2 linked regions of the Oryzias latipes genome follow. The protein of the gene in region 1 interacts with the protein of each later gene in a pairwise test. Links are inferred from orthologs where the notes say so. Each region holds a gene or a part of one and is shown on either strand. Other genes may lie near its edges. The genes, in order: aagab and ap2s1.

Region 1 (10,260 bases):
GCAGAAAGGAGAGTGTTTGCTGAAGGGGTCTTTGTCCAGCTGTTAACCCAACAGTGGCAAAGTTCTACTGGCCGTTCTCCGTGCACCTCGGCTGAAGGTACCGCAGAGTCCCTGAGAAGTAGGGCCTCTAAATCATTAACCACACTGCCCCAGCACAACCTGAAGCTTTCCCTGAAGTGACGGAAATCTGCTGCCTTTGGGTCGACTCGGCCTTTGAGGATTTTAAAAAGGTGTTTGTTTACAGGAGGATCCACTGGTTTAATCTGCAGAGCAAACAGAACCAAATGCATAAAAAAATTGCATTAAAAATATGCAATCAGACAAATATGAATATTTTATGCCTTTTTTTGTCTTTTTGTCCAATTTTCTAGAGTACTAGGGATAGAAGTGTTGATTGATAGGAGTGCAGTTATTATTCTTGCTGAACAAAATAAGTTGTGAGCATTTCTTTTTCCATTTTGGCTGCCTAACCCACCAAATATTTACTTTTGGAAGGAAATCACAGACAGTTTTCCCACTATATTACTGGCTCAAGCTGTTTGGTTATCTCTGTGAAGTCTAGCTGCATGTGCCTCTTTTCTCCGATTACAGTATATCAGGCATTTAATAAAATCAATGACATCAACTCATTGTGTATTTTTTGCAGCATTGTAACTAAACTAATTGTAAAAACTAACCAATTTTATGAACGTGTATGTTTTCTCTTGTGTCAAGAACTGTAGGTTTTTGCTGGACTGACTAACAAGGACATCTTTGTTTCACAACTGTGAACACATAAAACACTTAAAATGACAAAAAGGGCAACACTTTGTACTTTACTTCAAAATAAAGGTTATATATTTCATTAAAACATCTAAGCATTGCTGCTAAGTATAACCTGTTGGTAGTATTTTATCCTGAGAGTGACATAAGTTGTAGAGAGCTGTCAGTTAACCTGGTTTTGATGGGTTGATGGGGTGTGATGTTCCCCTTGGTTACAAAACCTGAAATCTTATTACAGAGTTTTTTTGTTCAAAAGAGAAAAAAATATGATAAATGATAAATAAACGTGTCACATGTCCTGAACAATAACATTATATGTCAGATGACAAGGACATTTCCTTGTCCATTTCCTTTTCCTTTTTTTTTTAATTCAACACTTTTTATCTTGGACTCAAATGTTTTTATAATATTGCAAAATATCACTTTGTAACATGGTTAAAACCTTTTAGCAACCACAAAGCCTAAATATTAATAAGAAATATTTTTAAACCAGGTTTTATCATTGAAAAGTGTTTTAGTTTTAAAGAATACCTAAAATATATTTTAGATATGTCATGATAAAAAAAACATTTTGACTTTTCTGACTATAAACTCTAGTTCTTTACCTTTTATTTACTCATAAAACTCCTTCAGACTACTTTCCTGACATCTCTTATGTCCTCTCCTTTGTTCTCCTCAGACCACTGAGCGTTCTGACAGAATGCAGGTAGTAGCCAGGTGCTGTTAGATTCTCCCCTTAAAGGCACACATCTGTTTCAGATGGTGCTGGGAAAAGGGCAACCTTTTGTAAAATTGCAAAAATGCAAAAGCTCATTTTTTGGCAAAAGCTGGTAGCAGAAAAGAGCTGGAGTGAGTTGCAGAAGGCTGCAGCAGGCAGAGAGCCAGTGGTTAGCAGTTGGGGAAGCTACGGCTGTCTTATTGGCATGCTAGACCAGGTAGTCGATTCTGTCTGGAGACAGCTGTAAACCACTCGCCCATAGCGCAGCAATCAGGCACCTGTTTCCTTAGAAGAATGCTGATGTGCTACAATCTGCTGCTCTCCGCTCTCTGCAGCCAGCACTTCCATCTCTCCTGTAGCAGAGTGGCAGTCTTGGCCCTCATTTCTCAAGTCAGATACAGATTACAAAAAACATATTGGGGGAAAAAAAAAGAGTGTAAAGATAAATCTAAAGCTATTGTCAACTTTGCGATGATTAATTTCCTTCCTGTGACAAGTGCTGGATGTCATCTATGAGTCAAGTGACCTTGAAGTCATTGCGTTTTAGTGCATGGGACTGGAGGTATCTATAAATGTAGACATGTACCATCAGTCTTTACTGTGTCATAATCAGTTTTTTCTGATTAACACAGTAAGATTTAAAAAAAAAATAAAAAAACAACAACATCCCTAAAATATTTTCTCATCCAAAACTCATCATTAGATTTTTTTTATGGAGTAAAGTTGCAGTCAAGGTCAGCAAAAACTTTTAAGCAGATGAATAGAGTTGATCAAATGAGCAAACCCTGTTCTTCGGAGCAAATGGATGTCAAAAGGTTGATCTGGAAAACATTTCCCTGCTCATCTGCGCAGCTTCTTTAGCTGTAACTGCTGATGGGGAATTCAGATTAATTGTGTCCTGATTACTTGAGAGTTCTATTAAAATAAGTAGAGGCCACGTAAGTAGATGCAAATATGAACGCTCCGGAGATCATCAAAATGGATGTCATGTCCTAATATTTGCTGGGGCTCTTGGTGAGGCTCAGAGGTGGTGGCACTCAGTGGTTTATTGTTTTTGTGCGGCAGGTGGGAATGGGACCCTGGTCTTTTGGGAAAAGATGTCAAAACAGTATAGTTCTTGGGGGACAGCTAATGTATCAGACCCCATTTCTCTTGATTTTCCATTCTGACTTTAAGGTGCAGGTGACGTTCTGAGTCCTGGCCTGATATTGGGGCTTCTCTGTGGTGTGCCATCCTTTTGTGGAGGGGTTGTTTTCCCCAATGCACAGATCACAACAAAGATGCCCCATAAAGCTTCTTTCAAAACATTCTTGCATTGTGAAACAAAAGTTATTCACTTAACTAACATCCGAGTAATCAATATTTTGTGTCTGACATTATATGACATGTCCATCACTCAAGTTTTGAAAGGTTAAAGAATATTTATACAATATACTATAAAAAACAAAAAAGTGTTCCCTGAATTAACCCTGGAACATTTCCAAAAAACAGTGTCCGTTAACTACTGTACTCTCTACTGTACACTACTGTACAGCTGCAAAATGTATGAATCAATGTAAAAATATGACTTTTCCATCAATAAAGACTGTTAATCTATCTTTTCTTGCATTATCTCTTAGTTTTCAGTTACATTTATATAAAATAGATCAAAAAAGTCCCTTTTCTTTAGGCGAGATTGCTGGAAGGTCTGTTTGTCTTTCTTTCCTTTTTGAATTGTTCTGAAGTTGCAGGTTGTTTTAACCCAACAGTCATCTTTCTTTTGTTGCACATCTGAAAAACTCTTCACAAGAGACTTCCTGTGGAAGTTTATTTTTCAGCATCCATGATGCCTCAGTAGAACTTTATAATACACAAGAAACCTTACCATGGTATTTGCAAATCTTTAGTGAATGGAAGTACCAGTACCTGCCTTTTAGTTTTTTTTTACTGTTTTCAAATACACCTTAGCTTGTTTATGTTGTCAAATAAAGAAAATATGTATTATCAGCAAGAAACTCCACTGTATCTGTGAACCATAGATTTTGTCATTGCTTTTGTAACTCTAAGCTGCTTCACCCCGAAGTGTCCCTTGGTGAACCCCCATGTCTGGGGCTAGTCCTGTGGTTTTCTCTGAGTCAGGAATTTTCTCTAGATGAGTTCTGGATTGCTTCAAATCCTCTTGTACCTGAAAAAACATACATAAAATGTGTACTGCAAGTGCAACACAAATTGATCTCCGAAAAGAATTCAATGAAACAAGGTTTTCGACCATAGAATTTATATTTGTGGATATGAAATTTGACCATAATGAGCAAGAGATTTAAAAGCAAACCAGTCTTTTTTTATATTCTTTGATATAAGACCCAACAAAACATCTTTCCAGAATAAAACGGCAATACCAGAAAAGATGGATTACTATTATTTACATTATTTTTTCCCTTTCTCCTTTCCGTTTTTCCTGTTTTTTATCGAACCTTTACAGAATACATTTAAAAAATATAATATAATATATCATTTATATACATTTTTTAAACAAACTGGCAATACTAATGACTTTTTTTAATGGAACATTTGTAGAATACAGGTTTGTCGTGACGTTGTTCCGGAAGTGACGCAGCTTGACAATCAGAGTTGAAAGGTTATCAAAATTTGTTAGCGTTAGCAGGAAGCTAGACGAGCTTTTTCTATTTACATTTGTTTTTGCAAAATGTCAGCGGCAGAAGACAATACTGATGTGACTCTTCCGTGTGTCCTAATCACTAGCTCTGATAGTGACTTTAAGGAAGAAGAGCTGGTAAAACGTGAGTACTCTTAGGATTGGAAGGAAGCCCAAAATTAAAGGAAGCTAGCTTACCTTAGCACAGTAGATGACAGATATAAATGCCTTCGCTTGAATATTACGCTTTTAGAGCTATTGTTTATTTTTAGAGTAGGCAGTCGAGTCAAACGCTTTTGCATGTTTGTGTTGGCATAGCCAATATTGCAAAAATGTTGAAGAAGCTAGCTGTCATCATTTACTTTGTTGCTAACTCTGCGTTTTGTTTTAGAAATCCTTAATTCGAGGACTTTACCTGAGCCGACAAAGCGAAGGGAAGCAGTCGCCTGGTATCCTTGGATCATCAACAACAAATATTATACGGCAGATGTCAGACTGTGTACTGTACCAAGAATCACTCAAATGTCCTCAGAAATTGCCCAGTCTATGCAGGCTTTTATTGCTTACTTCGATAGTAAAACGGTATGTATCTCAAAATCTAAACATTTAAGTTGCACGTGCTAATCATCACATCATCATGAAATTAAAGACATTTGTGTTTGTCATTTACAGAAGGGTGGCTTAGAAAAGCTCAACCCCTGGATATCAGTGGTAGCAGATCTTGCTCCTGAAGTCCTCATTCTAGTGTGTGACAGAGTCAGTGAAGATGGTTAGTCAATTCTGTTTGAATAAAATATTTAACATTTTCTGAGGATGATCAATAAGCACTGTTTTCTGTTTTAAATTCTTTACATCTCAAATGAGTTTGATATATGTGTGATTTTTTTTCTTTTTTTGTTGTCTTACCGTCTAAAATTAATGTTTAAAATAAACCAATAAATCAAATCAATGGTACACAAAAAAATCCTTCGAGTAAATGCTATATCCCATCTCACGGACAAAACGTGTTGTAGGTGTCACCAGGCATGAAGCACAGCAGTGGTGTTTGGCTCACGCGTTTGAACTTGTAGAGCTTAATCCTCAGGAGCTTCCAGATGAAGATGGTAACGTTGACAAACAGCAGAATTACAATTGTTAATGAGTTCCATTTGAGTTTGTTTTATATTGACACACTTGTTTTGTTTTTCTTTTCTTTTCAGATGACTTTCCAGAATCCACGGGAGTTAAAAGAATAGTTCAGGCTCTGAATGCTAATGTGTGGTCAAGTGTGGAGATGAAAGATGGTAATATATTTTTGGATGATGTATTTTTGGATGCCGTTATGGTTTTGTCTGTAGGATGGAGAGAATGTGACAGTTCATACTTTTTCATTCCAGGACACAATCAGGGTTTTAATTTAATGAGCAGTTTGGTGGCATCCAGACACAACGACCCACTTAGCCGCCAGGATCCTTCAGTGAGTGTTAATTCTTTCTCTTTTTTTTATACTAGCTGTTTCAAACTATGTACACATGTATCACTCCTTAATTACTTATATGCATAGATTTGGGGAATTAATGCAATCCTGTAATGTTATTTCTGGGGTAGCCCCCCAGTTTACCAGAAGAGAGTCCTCCTTCTAATGAGGAGACTAACCAGACAGACAGCCGAGTAAACACAGATGGACAGCAGGACACTGTTGTAGGTAAATAACCATGTTTGTTTTTTCAAACTAATTTCCCAGAGCATTATATACATCCAGTCAGGACAACAAGTTACACTTATAATTCCTATTTTGCCAATCCTTACAGATGCAATGACGGATTTAGATATTCAGGAGCTTGCCAATCTCACAGCTGGAGATGCAGATGTGGACAACTTTGAGCGCCTGTTCACTAAACTAAAGGAAATGAAAGGTGATTGGGAAATGAAAAAAACTTCTTTGGCTCTTTTTTTCCATCAATGATTTGAATGTCCAACTTAATTTCAAGATTTCAAGCTTGGTTAATCTGATTTATATTTTTGTTGTGCAGATAAAGCGTCTTCATTACCACATGAACAAAGAAAAGTTCATGCAGAGAAGGTCATCATCTTTCAATTTCTAACAACGTCTAACAGATCAGAGAATTTATCTGGAGGTTTTTTTTTTTTTTTTTTTTTTTTTTTACAATCCTTTTCTCAATTTCAGGTGGCAAAAGCCTTTTGGATGGCCATTGGTGGTGATGAAGATGAAATAGGTGGACTATCATCTGGGGAGGAAAGCTAAGAAAACAAAGGAAAAAAAAGTCTCTCTTGATCTTTCTTGCTGACCTGTAGCTTTCACAAGATTCTGTTCCTATTGATTCCCTATTCCCACGTATAAGATGATGCTTATAGTTGATCCTGTAAGCTTATTAGCATTTAAAAGCATTTGACTCTTCAAAAGTAATTGAGAAGTAACATGTCCTAGTGGGTGGATTCTAAACTTGTCTTCTCAATGTCCCACAAAATGCTTGAGCTCTGTGTGAACCTCAATACATGACAGTAATGCAAGTCATACAAATGTTTGAGCTTCATGCATTAATCTGGATATAGTAGACACAAATTTTTCATATATATTGGCCTTACCTTTTGAATTGTTTAAATCTAAAAGGGAAATCCTGAAAGTTCTTAAAATCATGTAAATCTTTGTAATGGGTGCAGCATAACTAATGTAAACAGTGTCTCACTACATAAGTTATTACTGCAGAAGTAACTAATCAAAAGGTAAACCAATATGCTGTGTTAGAGTGAATCTATAAAACTATACTGCTACATTTAGGTGATTTGTTAACTTCACTGAAAATGTGTCATCTCAAAAAATATCAAACTTATTCCTAAAAGCTTTGCATTTGTCTGCATTTTTTTCTTAATGAATATCACAAAGTCGTCTGCATACATGACAAAGAGTTACTATTGTTTTAGTGATGGTAAACATCTTAACAATGCATTTTATTTAATAAAATTTCACTTTGTAACAGTGGTCACAAAAAAAGTGTCTAGACTTGGAATTGAGAAACCGATTGTGATTAATCAGGAACAGATCTACTAACTACCAAATGCATTGAGTATTTGCAATACATACAATTAGAGATTGCATGACTCGGTACTGAAAGTGCGAGATTAACATGTTTGCATCAGAGCAAGGACAGTGAGCAATGCCTTATGTTATGATAATGCATAAGTAGCACACAGTGTTTATTGCACAAGCAGATCAGAGCAACAGTTAAAGCTTTTCTACACATTTCTGTGGAAGTGCATCATTTACCCACAAGCAGGATTTACTGTTCGGGATAAATAAGGAAAGTTTGTTCTTGATGAAAAAAACTTTCACCTGTCATAGCATACCTCCTTAATAAGAACAAAATGTCAAGATTCAATCCACTGTGTTGGTTCATTAAAGAGGCCCAAATCAGAAAGCTGCGATTAAAAATAAATACTTTTTACATAAACTTTGACTTTCATTACAGAGTATGGACTAAAGATTGTAACTTATAATTGTTACTTATATTTATTTTCACCAGTTTCTTTTTTTTGGTCTTATAAGACATTACAAGTAAAGGACAGGAGTAAAACATCAAATTATTTTATACCTTTATCCCCACAATATTATGTAAAAAAGTTGAAAATTACAAAGAAGTAAAAGCTGAACAGTCTTGCAGTTTCTATAGAACCAATAAATGAGGCAAATTATGTTGGCTTCAGTGTTATTAAAATCAAAATCAAAGAAAGAAAATGAAGACGTCAGCTATTGTCAGTGTTTTTCTGATTTAAGGTTTCCTATGTCTATTTTATTCCTTTTCAAAGCACTCTGTAGATAATAAATACAAATTAAACTTCATTAATCCTGAGGTTCACTCTGAAACTAGCTGAACTGGCTCAAACATGCATACCTAAGAAGGCCAAGTTAAGGAGGGGCCTAAGAGTCAGGACCCTTGTTTTAAGCTGTTCATCAATGTTAAATTACCGACTATAAATAATTGTATATTTAATTTTTTTGAAAACGTCAATAAAAACAGATTTTTTGCAGAATTTGCAAAAAATAAATTATAAAACATTTCACCAAGGAAAATAGTTTTCATACAAATATTCTTTCACAGAAATAATGAGGCTTTCTCTTTCATAGAATATTGACATTGATAAAATACCAATTAAAAAAAAATCAAATGCATCTATGATGCGTTGATTCATTACGTAAATCATCATGGAAGTACTTTGTACTTAGACTATTGGGTAAATTCTAATTGGTGACAAAATCACATGTTTTATGAAATTGTATTTTATGGTTTGACAGATGAGAAACGAATAAAAAATTGAGTAAAACTCAAAAATGACTAGCAAAAAGCAAGGTAATCTACAGAGGTAGACAGATATCTGGGTTTAAGGCATGTCTAATCTCTGAATGTATGATTAAAAACCCATTTAATCCAAAAACTGGAAAACAGAACAAATGTTTGGCAACAAAAGCATATATAAGGCCTAACATAATCGTAAAATTCCATGTCACAGTGTTTCGTAAGTGAATAAAGCTATCAGCACAGGATGGGAGATCGTGGCTTTGATGAATGGAGTTTCTAACCCTACCTCATCTAAAATCTATGCAACCTTTCCATTGTGGATGGGAATAGACCTCTTCCTAAGACACACTGGAGCAGTGGATGCTGGGAGAGCCCATCTGTGTGAGAACCTTGTCCAGCCACTGCAAAGGACCATTAAGATGTAGCTCTATCCAGCAGGGGGTGCTGGTCACTGTTTGACGTCTACAAGATAAAGAAAAAAAACATATTAATGTGACGACCTTTGTGCTAAACAACATTATTGCAAATGTAAATTCCCTACAAGATAATTTGATGAGGTAACTACAGTAAAACAAGGGCTAGTCGTTTTAATTACGGTAGATAAGTACCTTCACCAATGCTACAAACTCAACCAGCTATTTCTGAAGTCATTTAAGTCCAGAGATGTTTTTTCTCTAAGGTGTTTGGTGCCAGAAATACAACACGTATGACTAGATGAGACATTCAGCGGGGAACCCCCTCTAGGAAAGAGAGTCTCAGATATGTTCACCATCCGATGTCAATCTCTTCACAGCACTTTATGTCTCCTGCGTTCTCCTCTGTTACCATCTCAAGCTGAAGAACCATTTTTGTACGATGCAAAATGTAATATATATATCACCACAAGGAATGCAGGAATTGGTGGGACAATAATTATAATATGTTTGCATGCAATCATTGTAAACAGCTAAAACGAGTACCTTGAGCAAACAAACTTTAGTCTTTATTTGGACATTTTCTTTTTGAGAATGTAATGAAGGTCACTAACAGTTAACACCACAGATGTCTGCAACCCAATGTAGAGGGGGAATATGGATTTGTCCTACACTGATATACACAACAATAGAAATTCAGGTTTGATTCTTTTTTTAAAAGCAAAGAACTTAAGCTTGATTTTCTGGTTGGTTCATTCTTTTATCTATTCAACGTTTACAGATTAATCTTAAAGTCAAATGAACATTGTATTGTTGGGGTTCTTAATAAGTTCTTGTGTTTTTAAAAGTTACTTTAAACAGCTTTTTCCGCAGTACTTTTCCATCGGGTCGATGGCAACAAGTTGAAAATATTTACCTGTACTCGGCACCCCAACCTTTAACAAAACTCATTCGAATAGTACACATCCTGGTGAGCTGGTAGACTGCCTCAAAGCCCTGGTTGACCGACTGGGCGAGGAGGGCAGCAAACTCCTGGTTGTTGAAAATCTTAAGGTTACAACCTAAAAAAAAAAAATCAAATTAGACTTTTTGATAGAGAAAAAAATACTGAATCCAGCTTTGCTATTTGTGATTAATGTAAGAGGATTTTGCACTAACCTGGTGGGATTTTGCACACAGTGGCAGGGTGCCAACTGTAGTGCTGGTTGCAGTTTGGACTTTGAACAAAGATGGCACTGTCACTCAGACACTCTGCAAATACCTCCCCCCCAATGTAGTACAGCCTCACACCTCGTCCTGGAAAGCATACAGAAACAAGTGTACCTCATCACACAAGCTGCAGATAATATGAAACCCAAATACAAAAAAAAAAAACACACAAAAAATTCATATGAAGTCAGAGGTTATGTCCTCACAGTATGGGTACCTATGTGTCTG
Region 2 (10,213 bases), on another chromosome or scaffold:
TTTGACCATCATGTGGTTGTTTTCTGTCCACACAGAACTGATGTTTCTAGAAACAAGTGCACTGACAGGCGAAAATGTGGAGGAGGGTTTCCTGAAGTGTGCCCGCACCATCCTCAACAAGATAGATTCAGGTATATTTTAGTCTTTGGTAAACAGGCATGTCTCTTTGTTTGTGTGTGTATTTGCACAATTTATGTTGTTTTGGGGACCATATTGTAGTTTTAAATATGTTCTACATTCAAAAGATTTAATACCTTGAAGTCCCACTCCAATCCTCTTTTAACATATTTTAACTTTCTTTTCCACTGATCTTTTTATTACGATTATCTCATTTTTAACCAAAATCAAAATCCGGAGTTGTTTTCCTGCAGATCAGCAGTAGTTCATTAGAAATTCGCCTTTTGAGTTGTGGGTTGGTGTTGAGTTACCCCGCCCCCTCTTTTAAAATCTGTTTTATTGTATTTTATTTTGGTAACAGTTTTTCCCATTCTCTGCAATGGTCTCTGCAGGAGAGCTGGACCCAGAGAGGATGGGTTCAGGGATTCAGTATGGAGACGCGTCTCTAAGGCAGCTGCGACAGCCGAGAGGCACAACAACACAGAACAAGCAGCAGTGTAACTGCTAGGGGTCAGGCCACGCCTTAACCTGAGCCTGCAGCCCCACGCGGACAGGACGCCCCCTACAGGTCAGTGAGCGTTCTTGTCTGAAGTACTTAGACAAAAACAGGCCTCGCATCAACTTTTGGTTTTTGTTTGCTCAGTCCTTCAGTTCAGCTCCAGGTGTTTTGGTGTGTGTGACCATTCACCCTATAGTCTCACTCACCTTACATCACCTGGATGAGTGAGGTCACAAAGACTCCTACAAGCCCCTGGCCCTCGCTAAGCCTCCTTACCTGAGGGGGCCATCTTGCCCCTGCATCTAGGATGAAGCATCCCTTCAGTGTGAGCGTGATGGGGACATAAGGACGTGATGTCCTCATCAGTTGCTTACCAGACAAGGACGAGTCAACGGTGGTCCATATGGGCTGCTGTTGGTCAACCTTTTGATTTTTATTTCTTTTTTTATTCAGGTTTTAGAAACTTTGCTTTTTGCACTTGCACATTTCTGTCTGTAAATTCCTACTGTCACTGTTTGAAGCACTCTTATCTAGCGTCTCCTGACATGACTGATGATGAGCCCAAAATTAAATGTGATTGTGGAAACGTTTGTATTTCGAAACATGTATACTTAAAGAAATTGAAAATGATAGAATCTACCACATCCTTTATCCTTTTAAAGTTTTCTTGAACATTGAACCTGCTAACTATTGAATGTAAAGTGAGCCTCAGCTGGATGTTGTCTCTAAAGGCTGGAATCTGTATTTTTATTTGGTTTGCATTCAAAGTGTATATGTGAATATATAAAGAGTTTTACAAATTGTGAATTTATAGTTAGAATTCCTAATGATTCCACCTTTTCAACACATTTTGTTTACTCAGTTCACTGTGTAGCTTAAGAAGCACGAAAATAATATTTTTATTCCATTTAAAATCCCAAAGTCCCAAACGTACTTATTTATATATAAAATCTCTTTTTTTTTTTGGCCTGCCGCTGCTGGATTTTCTTTTTCCTCAACCTACTTTTGAATCACTTTCTACAAACACATGCAGCACAAGGGATGATCCTACAAACGACAGCAGGTTGTGCTTTGTTTTTGTAGATCCCCCTCTATTAAGGTTGGCTTTTCCCCAAACGTTGCCGATTGGAAGGGATGCACAGGAAGTGATGACTCTATCCTTGTAAGTCATCGTTGCCCTTCAGGTTTGTTTTCTAAACAGGCCTTTAGAGAAGGGGAGAAGAAAAAAGTGTGCGTGTGTGCACACTGAAGGGTAACTATAATATAGAACTGTCCAAAGTATGTAGAGTCCATTCGCAGGTATTTGGGGTTTTCCTCCTCTGAAAGTGCACTTTTATTTTCAAAATGTCATGTATGTTTTGTTTATATACTGTATCAAAAGAATTGTACATTTTATTTTAAAAGTCTAAGTAATAAAGATTTTGATTGTAGAGGGTTTCTCCTCCTTTGAGCCACTTGCCTCAAAAGGTTTCCAGCTTTGTTAGGATATCAGAAGGCTTATGTAATGAGTAAATAAATACAGGTCGTTTTTCTAATTAGTTTAATGCTCTTAAGTTGAAAGATTAAGTGGTTTAATGAAGCTGAAATAGATATATTGACTGGTTTATTGACCCGAGACTGGCTTGAGATGACATCACATTCATGTTACTGTTTGGCCACTAGATGGTGCTGCCAGAATTTAAATGTATTTTTTATAACACTGTACACATTTTCTTTGAAGAAATAACAGAAAAGCTGAACGATAAATCTGTTTATTTACACAAAATGGGACTGCTGATGTAGGCAGCTGAATTTAAGACAGTAACATCTTCCATTAGCACTCTATCAAATGCCAGGTGGGTACATAGTTCAATATTGTCTTCATGAAAAACCCAAAGTCTAACATGTGAAGCAACTAAAGGTAAAAATATGGGATTTCACCAGAAATGATAGTCCAAAGGGACAGTACTTTAAATGCACATATGACACTGTTGGAATGTATTAATCTCAAATGAGTTTATATTTTTGAAGATTAATCTTCGTGACCAATCATTTCACAATACTCACAGACAACACTGTTTACACAGATCACACAAAGCAAACCCAAAGTAGTGCTTCACATAAAACCCGCCTGTTTGTTCCGGATCGTTTTAAATGTTAACAGTGACCAAAGAGCACCGTTTTGATTGACAATCCTGCATTGTACCACCCTCTTACAAGCTCTGGCATCAGTCACACACATCTGCATATGTAAGCATTACACATGAACACAAGAGAACTATAAATGCCACCTAAAGACATTATTTTGGATAAACAGGCTACTTCAATCAGAGATAAGGTAAAGGGAAGGTGGGCCTGGCCTGAGTTTATGGGGCTTCTAAATTCTAGTGCCGCTAAAGAATTGCTTTGTTTAATGTGGGAATGAGAAGACTGCCGTCACAGTTGCTTCTGACAAATGCCATAAATGAAAAGATAACTGTGGAGAAGAACTCATTTCTGCAGCCTTTGGCTGTAGAAAAGCAAAAAAAAAACTCAAAGAAACTTGAAATGCTGACACGTTGAAATGTAGTGAAAGACGTCTTTTAAAACGATTCAGAAGGTTAGATAAAAAACTGCAGGGAAAAAAAAAAAAACGGCTGATTGGATATCTAAAAGTGGATGTTGTGTAGTCCTCGTCCACATGCCTGTTGTCACTTGGCATGTTGAAAAACTAGAGGATTTGTATATGAAGTGACATTACACATCAAAGTATTTGTATTTATATATATTTTTTGGATGTCCGGTGGGCAAGAAGGACAGAGGATTTTGTTTTTACTCAAGTGACTGAAGCATGAGAAGCTGCTTAAGGACCTTGGTCTGACTGGTCTCCCTGATCTCTCCTGCCAGGAACATCTCGTCCACTACTGTGTACACCTTGGAGGGGAAAAAACATAACAGACAAGGTCAGAAATGAGAAAGAAAAAAAAAAGGAAAAACCAAGAGTTCACGGGAAATTAGGTCACAAACTGAGCAAAATTGCTTCTCTTAAAAAATGCTTCCATTCCAAACTGAAAAACAATCTGTCAGCTTCTTAAAAACAACATTTTTGACATTCAAATGTTCAAAAAAATGTTCAACATAATTGATCCATTAAAGGAATACAGACCAGAATTCATGCTTTGAACATTTTAATGTTATAAATGTATCACTTCACAGCTTGTTAGTATCTTGGCAATAATTTGGAAGAACAAAACAGAAGAATAAGTGAATTAACTAACCATAGCAGAATGTTCTGAACAGGGGAACAAGGGAAGTTTGGAAATGTTCATTTAACTGAATTTTCAATCCAGGGGAGTTCATCCAAGTTTTAAACAGATAAAAAGGAAATTCTGTTGACTTGTCCTTCTGTTTATACTTTCTTGTACGAGGCATTTGTAAAATAAGTCAAAAGCAAATGGACAAATGATGATTTTCAAGTGCTCTTACCTTGTAGAAGTTGAAGACCAGGTCCAGCTCGCACACATTGTGGAAATACTCGTTCAGGACCTTTTAGAACACAAAGGAAACATCCTAAGCTTCATTCAGGAATCGGGAAAGACTCATGAGCAACATTTTGGGTCTCAGCTTGTTGAGAGGACAGCACACAGACTAATGAAGTGTCACTACAGACTGTTAAACTCATGGAAGTGACCGTTCTCCTTCTTCAAGCTTTCCAAAGCAACTGAATTAGCACAACACTGTTAATAACATAAATTACCATCAAATCATTGCCCATTAAATCTATTTGTTTGGAAGTTCACTTGAGGATAATTTATCCATTTGCTGATATTCACGTAATTCATTTTTTTTCTACATGTTGCTCACTTTTTGTTTTTAAAATTCAAAACAGATTACATTGTTGTCACAAGGAGATCCCAAACGATATCGTCTTATTAAATCTAAAATGATGTCTTTGGGTAAACTATAACTTTACCCCATGGAAATGGTATCTGTTAATGAATATTTTACAATTAATATAAATGATCTCAAGATAAATGTTGCATGATAAACTTTTAAGGGGTATGGTCGGGTTAAAACAAAACTTCATTTTTTCAATATATTGATTCATCAAATCTATAAACTGATTTTCTTTTGAAGCAACTTTTTTCAAGGGAAAACAAAACATTTTTTCAGCTATTTTTATTTGTAAAGTTTTAGAACAACCTATCCTTCTGAAAGTGTTAATCAAAATCTTACAAAATTGTTTTTAGGCAGAAATATAACATAAAACTGGTTGGAGGAATGATACATCATCAGTTTTTAGGCAAAACCCAGTCCTAGAAAATGATAAGTAAAAGGGAAAAAAAAAGGTCAGACACACGAAACACATTTGACCAGGATAACAAAATGATCAGAGCACATTATGTGTACTCACCTCCACAAAGTTGTGAATTCCCTCAAGGTATGCCAGGTTGTTATCAGTCACGTCCACACAAATGCAGAAGTAAAGCCCAGCATAACGCCGGTAAATGATCTTAAAGTTCCTGAACTGTGGGAACAAAGTGGAATCAGCCTGTTAATAATAGAGTTTCTCATATTATGACAACAGCAGATTTACTGGGGTATAGGCTCCCAGACTTTGAGGCAAAACACACCATGATAATTTTATGTTTATCATAAAAAAAATAAATGTGGTACAAACATATATATTCATCTTTATATCCATATTTAATAAAGAAATGGGAGGATTTGAAGCGGGATGTTTTTTTGCAGCAGCAGAAACAACTTTATTTGCTTATACAGAAACAGGGGAAAAAAATAAAAAATGAGTTAAAAAATCCCCCTGGGGTTTTTGAATAATTAGAGAAAATCTGTTAGCTGCTCCTCAAAACTACAATTATACAAACTCAAATAGAATTTGAGATGTATTTTCAATCACTTTTAGTTTCATATCAGGTAAAAACTTGCTGATTCAACAAAATGTATTTGCTGTGCGTTTGAATAATTTTGAGCTTGATGATGGAAGCATCTTGAGTCATAATTCTAAGTAATTTGCACGTGTTTGCACCAAATCTACTGAAGCATCGGTGAAGGCTGACAATTTAAGCTATATTTTCTTCTTTGAAAAACAGTCATCTACACTAGTTTTATCAAAGAAATCGAGCTAAACGAACACTGAACCACTGCCTGACAACATGAATAGTAAACTTCTTTACCTCCACGAAGTTGGTGTGTTTGGCATCTCTGACTGTAACCACAGCATGTACTTCCTCGATCAGCTTTTGCTTTTCATCATCATCAAACTGCATGTACCATTTGGCCAACCGGGTTTTTCCTGCCCGGTTCTGGATGAGAATGAACCGGATCTTTGGGATTAAAAAGAAAATAAGTAAGCAAGGCATAGCTATTTTTAAATCAAGAAATCAAGAGAAATGCGTAGCAGACGCCACAAATAAAGTGTAGCAGTTAATTCAATTCCAGAGATTAAAACATCCACAAATTTTCGAGGGCTCCCTCCCTGACTTAGTTAGTTAACGTTCTTGGCTAATCTGACAGCGGCGTTACATTAGCATTTGCCTCCCGACAGAAAACTGCGAACAATTTAATTGCTATAGAATTCATAAAATATGAATAATTTCTAAATAGGTTGTATTCCTTGTTTTGTTTTTTTGTTTTCTGAAGTCTAGCAAAGGCTGTCAAGTGACTCATTGAACGGCATATCGGTACGAATCCCACCAATGCTAGCAATTCAATGTTGAAAGACTATGGGTGGAAAAAACAAAACATGGAGGAAAAAAGGCGACGTTACCATATTCGTCTCCTTAGCAGAACCTTTGGTGACAACAATATCGAGTTCCTGAGTAACAATTTAGTGGTTTTACATTAAAAAGCAGTTATTCGGGCGAGAGCTCGTCGGTTATCTGCACTAGCTAACAGGAAAAAGGAAAGCTTCGTTGATTTGTGGTGCACCATGGGAAATGTGTTTTTAACGGTTGGATAAGAACTCCTGGAATGTACCAGGAAACTACAAACACCAGTGTTCATTTTTTAAGAACTTGTCCAGTTCTCAACAAGTCACATGATTTGCAATGGTTTTTTTATGTATCAGTTTTTCAGTTTTTTTTAACACCTTCTTTCTTTAGCAATGCACACTTTTTTGTGTTAAATATTTACACATTGGCGGGTTTTAGACATGGACATAGCGGTCAATCGACCAAGAGCTCTTGCTGCAAATAAATAAATAAAATAAAATAAAGAAACAAAAAACCAGGTTTTAAAACCGTGTATATTTATTAAAAGGGCAAAGCATTTTTTTTATACATGTCAATCTCTGTTATGGCCTTTTTAACAACCTGTCCAGGATGTACTTTGCCTTCACCCAACAGTAGCTGGGATAGGCTCCAGCAGCCCTGTGACCCTGAAAGCGATACAACTGGTGAAGAAGTAGGATAGAATGATACAATGTTAGGTGCAAATCATGGGGACTTCTAAAATATTTGGAGCTCTCTCCATACCTGTTAGTAGTCAAAAGGATGAGCCAGACAGTTCCTCTTTCATACAGCAGGTGTCTTCAAAATCCCAAATGCCAAAGGGTGTGAATCCAGACTCTTCCAATTTCACTTCCAATTTCATTTCTCCTGAACACAAGTGTGGTGAAAGGAAGGAAACATTTTCTTTTTCCTTTTTTTTGCGGAGGCAGAGGGGGGCGAAAGTCAAGGTAGAACTGCCACAGACACTACAGCAGCCATGGCTACAGACGAAAATAACAAAAGTCTAATTTGTATAGTATTCAATATTGTTTCATAACGAGTTAACTTTGGAATAAAACCCTGGTCTTTTTTATGTATTTGCAATTTAACATATTTTCCTCTTTTATAACTGCAAAGGAGAAATGTGGACTTCCTGATTTAATTTAAATGCTTGGGGAGACTGGGATTATCAGATATTGCACAACTGCAGCAGAAGGAATGTGTTTCCCCAAGGACCCAGCAAAAATTCAGCTGCAAATGTTGAAGAGGTTGAGGTCAGATAGGAAAAAAAACATGTTTATTATAAATAAACTACAATAAAGAGAAGAAAAAAGCCAAAAATCCTTTGTAAAAACTTTTTCTTCTAGTTATTTCTTTCAGCAATGTTTTGGTATATGTGTAAAAAAAACAGCGGAACTCTGTTAATGTTTTGTAAAAAATAAAATATCTTAAATAGCATTGTAATTTATTAGTTCAAGTAGATTGCTTATACTGTGCCTTGTCTGTGTTGAAATAACCGAAAATGGATTTGAAAACAGAAGCAGATCGTTCAACAGAAACTTTGACCCATGTTAATCTTTCTTTGCAGTGGGGTCATGCAAATATTGCTAAAAACATTAAGTGATACGATTGGACAGAAAACCAAATGTGAGCTTTTAACCCAGCTTGAACATGTATTTTTTTGGTGGCATAACTCTCTCAAAATATGTATAAACACTCACTTTATTACAAATTCCCATCCCATGAAAAAACAAGGCAACTCACCCCCTGATAACAGTCATTAAATTTTACATTTGTCTTGTTTTTTCCATTGCAGGGTGGTTAAAATTAAAATAAAGTTTAAGCTTTTACTGTTATTTAAAAAGCAAACTTCAGCTTTAATGTTCTTGTTGTCACAAGTTGAATAGTTTCTCTTCAAACTCAGTCATGTAAAGAATGGTGAGAGGTAAATTCACTGACCTTGTTTTTGCACAACATGACCAATTTGAAAAAGTAACCAAAATATTTTTAATTAATCCTTTTGGATTGAAAATTTTAGTTGGCTTTTAAAGTAGGCCCACTTCATTCCGCTTTCAAATAACAGCCTGCATTTTTGCATCAAATGAAACATTTGTGCTCATCGTACATGTTTAAGTCTGGATTGGGCTGTTGGAAGACGTTGAGGGAGGGGCAGAGTCACAGGGAATTCATTCCGAACAAGGTCCCGCTGCAAAACATTAAACATCTGTTTGAGCTCTTAGCTTGTTGTCTTTACAACAAATCAGACAATTCTTAGTTGTTATACTGTCCTCCTTAGAGACACAACTTAATTATCATTCAGTGGCTGAACTAATCACAATGCAAACATCATCAAATGATTCTCCTAATAGATGACTTTTCAAATCCAATTGAAATGATTCGATTTTACCTTTTTTTTTTTTTTTTTTTAACTTGTCCTGTCCAACAGCTAGGCAAACAGATGAGAGCTGAGGGCCTCTTGTGTTGGACATATTTTATTTTAACAAGAGGGGTTATTCATCTTCAGACAAACCAAAGGTATGTCTGAATAAACCCCTTTTGTAATTGAGGCCAAACTTTATTAATTTCAATCATGTTTGAAAATCTTTGGTGTTGGACCGGACGGAAAAGGAAAGAGGGGAAGAAGAGAGAGGGACGTTAGAGAGAGAGGGGGGTAGGAGGGTGATAATAGGAGGGGAAGGGGGGTAAGACCATGAAGCAGCATAGAGCAGACAGGTTTACTGGTTGTTTATCGTTACGGTACGGTTCAAATGTAGTACAAAAAGGGCGATTTTACCTTTGACGGGACTGTTTTTTTACTTCTTGATTAGACTGATTGGACAAATCAATGTCCAACGTGGTTGTGTTTATTTTTTAACATTTGTGGCCCTGTTTAGTACTCAGAGTTTTTGTTCCTGCTACAAACCCTGCTTGTGTTTCATTCTCTTGTGGCCGCGCTGTTTCCAATTGCTATCACTTTGCTTCTTGGTGTGGTCACTTTGTGTCTTGGAAGATAATTTACGTTTATTTATGACTGCTTTCGTTTTCCTCTCTGTTTCCTTACGATGAAACAAAGGACTTTTCAGACTTTTGTAGACCCAGAAGGTCATTTACACCTCCTCAGAGGTAGACACCAAACTTAAGTGAATAAAAGTTTTTTTTAACTCTCCCTCGACCCTCCAACAGCCTCAGAGTTCAGATGAGAGCCACGTGAGGAGTTCAAAGTTAAAACCTACTCTTTTAGAGGTTATTCCAGTTAAGCAGCATACTGTGACTTTATCTTTACTAGTATTTCATTTGACATTTTGCTTTAAAACTGTCTAGGTTGGCTCCTGAAATGTGCATTGTTTTTTTCCCTCCTGTCTAAACACAAGCAGGGAGCCTCTTGCATTGGACAGATACTATTGTTGAACATGGTGTATGAGTTGTTGAGCCTTTACTTTATATTTATGAGTTATTCAATAATAACTGTTTAATATTTTAAGTTAAATGTGTTACATTTGAATCTTATTTGTTTTTATGTTGATCTGATTTGAAAAGTATTCATTTGTGTCACTGTATTTTTTATATATTGTAAATTTTATGAAGTGCACAAGTTGTTTTTATTTTTTAAGGATAAAATGTACAATTTAAATATGAAAGGTGTGTACTGTACCTGGGTATCACATTTTGACACACTTATTTTGTGTTTCGAGAATAAAAACTGTCTTTTGCCATGTTAGTTTTGCACAGTAAAGTAGTGCAACTTAAATTCAGGTAAATGCTGACACATTTAGCTTGTTTTAGTTTCTGTCCTCTGTGGTAAATGTTGGTTGTTTCACCCCTGTTTGGGACTTGTATTATTATTTTTGGAAAAGTCTACATCTTTGGCTAAATGACACTGATGCCAACCAGGTTAGACTTGTTTCTTTTT

The links.
Region 2: the proteins of aagab (region 1) and ap2s1 interact in binary tests that used the Homo sapiens proteins (3 or more experiments, as listed by UniProt). The link is inferred for Oryzias latipes from reciprocal best matches to the Homo sapiens genes AAGAB and AP2S1.

What each region holds. Positions count from the first base shown.
Region 1 is NC_019864.2:16,361,672-16,371,931, forward strand, and holds aagab (alpha- and gamma-adaptin-binding protein p34), read left to right. Parts: upstream 1-4,075; 5' UTR 4,076-4,166; coding exon 4,167-4,260; intron 4,261-4,506; coding exon 4,507-4,697; intron 4,698-4,787; coding exon 4,788-4,884; intron 4,885-5,128; coding exon 5,129-5,218; intron 5,219-5,314; coding exon 5,315-5,398; intron 5,399-5,491; coding exon 5,492-5,571; intron 5,572-5,702; coding exon 5,703-5,799; intron 5,800-5,905; coding exon 5,906-6,010; intron 6,011-6,127; coding exon 6,128-6,177; intron 6,178-6,282; coding exon 6,283-6,360; 3' UTR 6,361-7,564; downstream 7,565-10,260. Other genes in the region: smad3 (mothers against decapentaplegic homolog 3), read right to left, coding at 8,749-8,872, 9,740-9,884, 9,982-10,119, 10,250-10,260. UniProt on the Homo sapiens protein: May be involved in endocytic recycling of growth factor receptors such as EGFR.
Region 2 is NC_019871.2:14,617,937-14,628,149, forward strand, and holds ap2s1 (AP-2 complex subunit sigma), read right to left. Parts: upstream 6,518-10,213; 5' UTR 6,366-6,517; coding exon 6,363-6,365; intron 5,920-6,362; coding exon 5,770-5,919; intron 5,103-5,769; coding exon 4,989-5,102; intron 4,121-4,988; coding exon 4,061-4,120; intron 3,509-4,060; coding exon 3,407-3,508; 3' UTR 2,350-3,406; downstream 1-2,349. Other genes in the region: ras-related protein Rab-4B, read left to right, coding at 36-131, 510-625. UniProt on the Homo sapiens protein: Component of the adaptor protein complex 2 (AP-2). Adaptor protein complexes function in protein transport via transport vesicles in different membrane traffic pathways.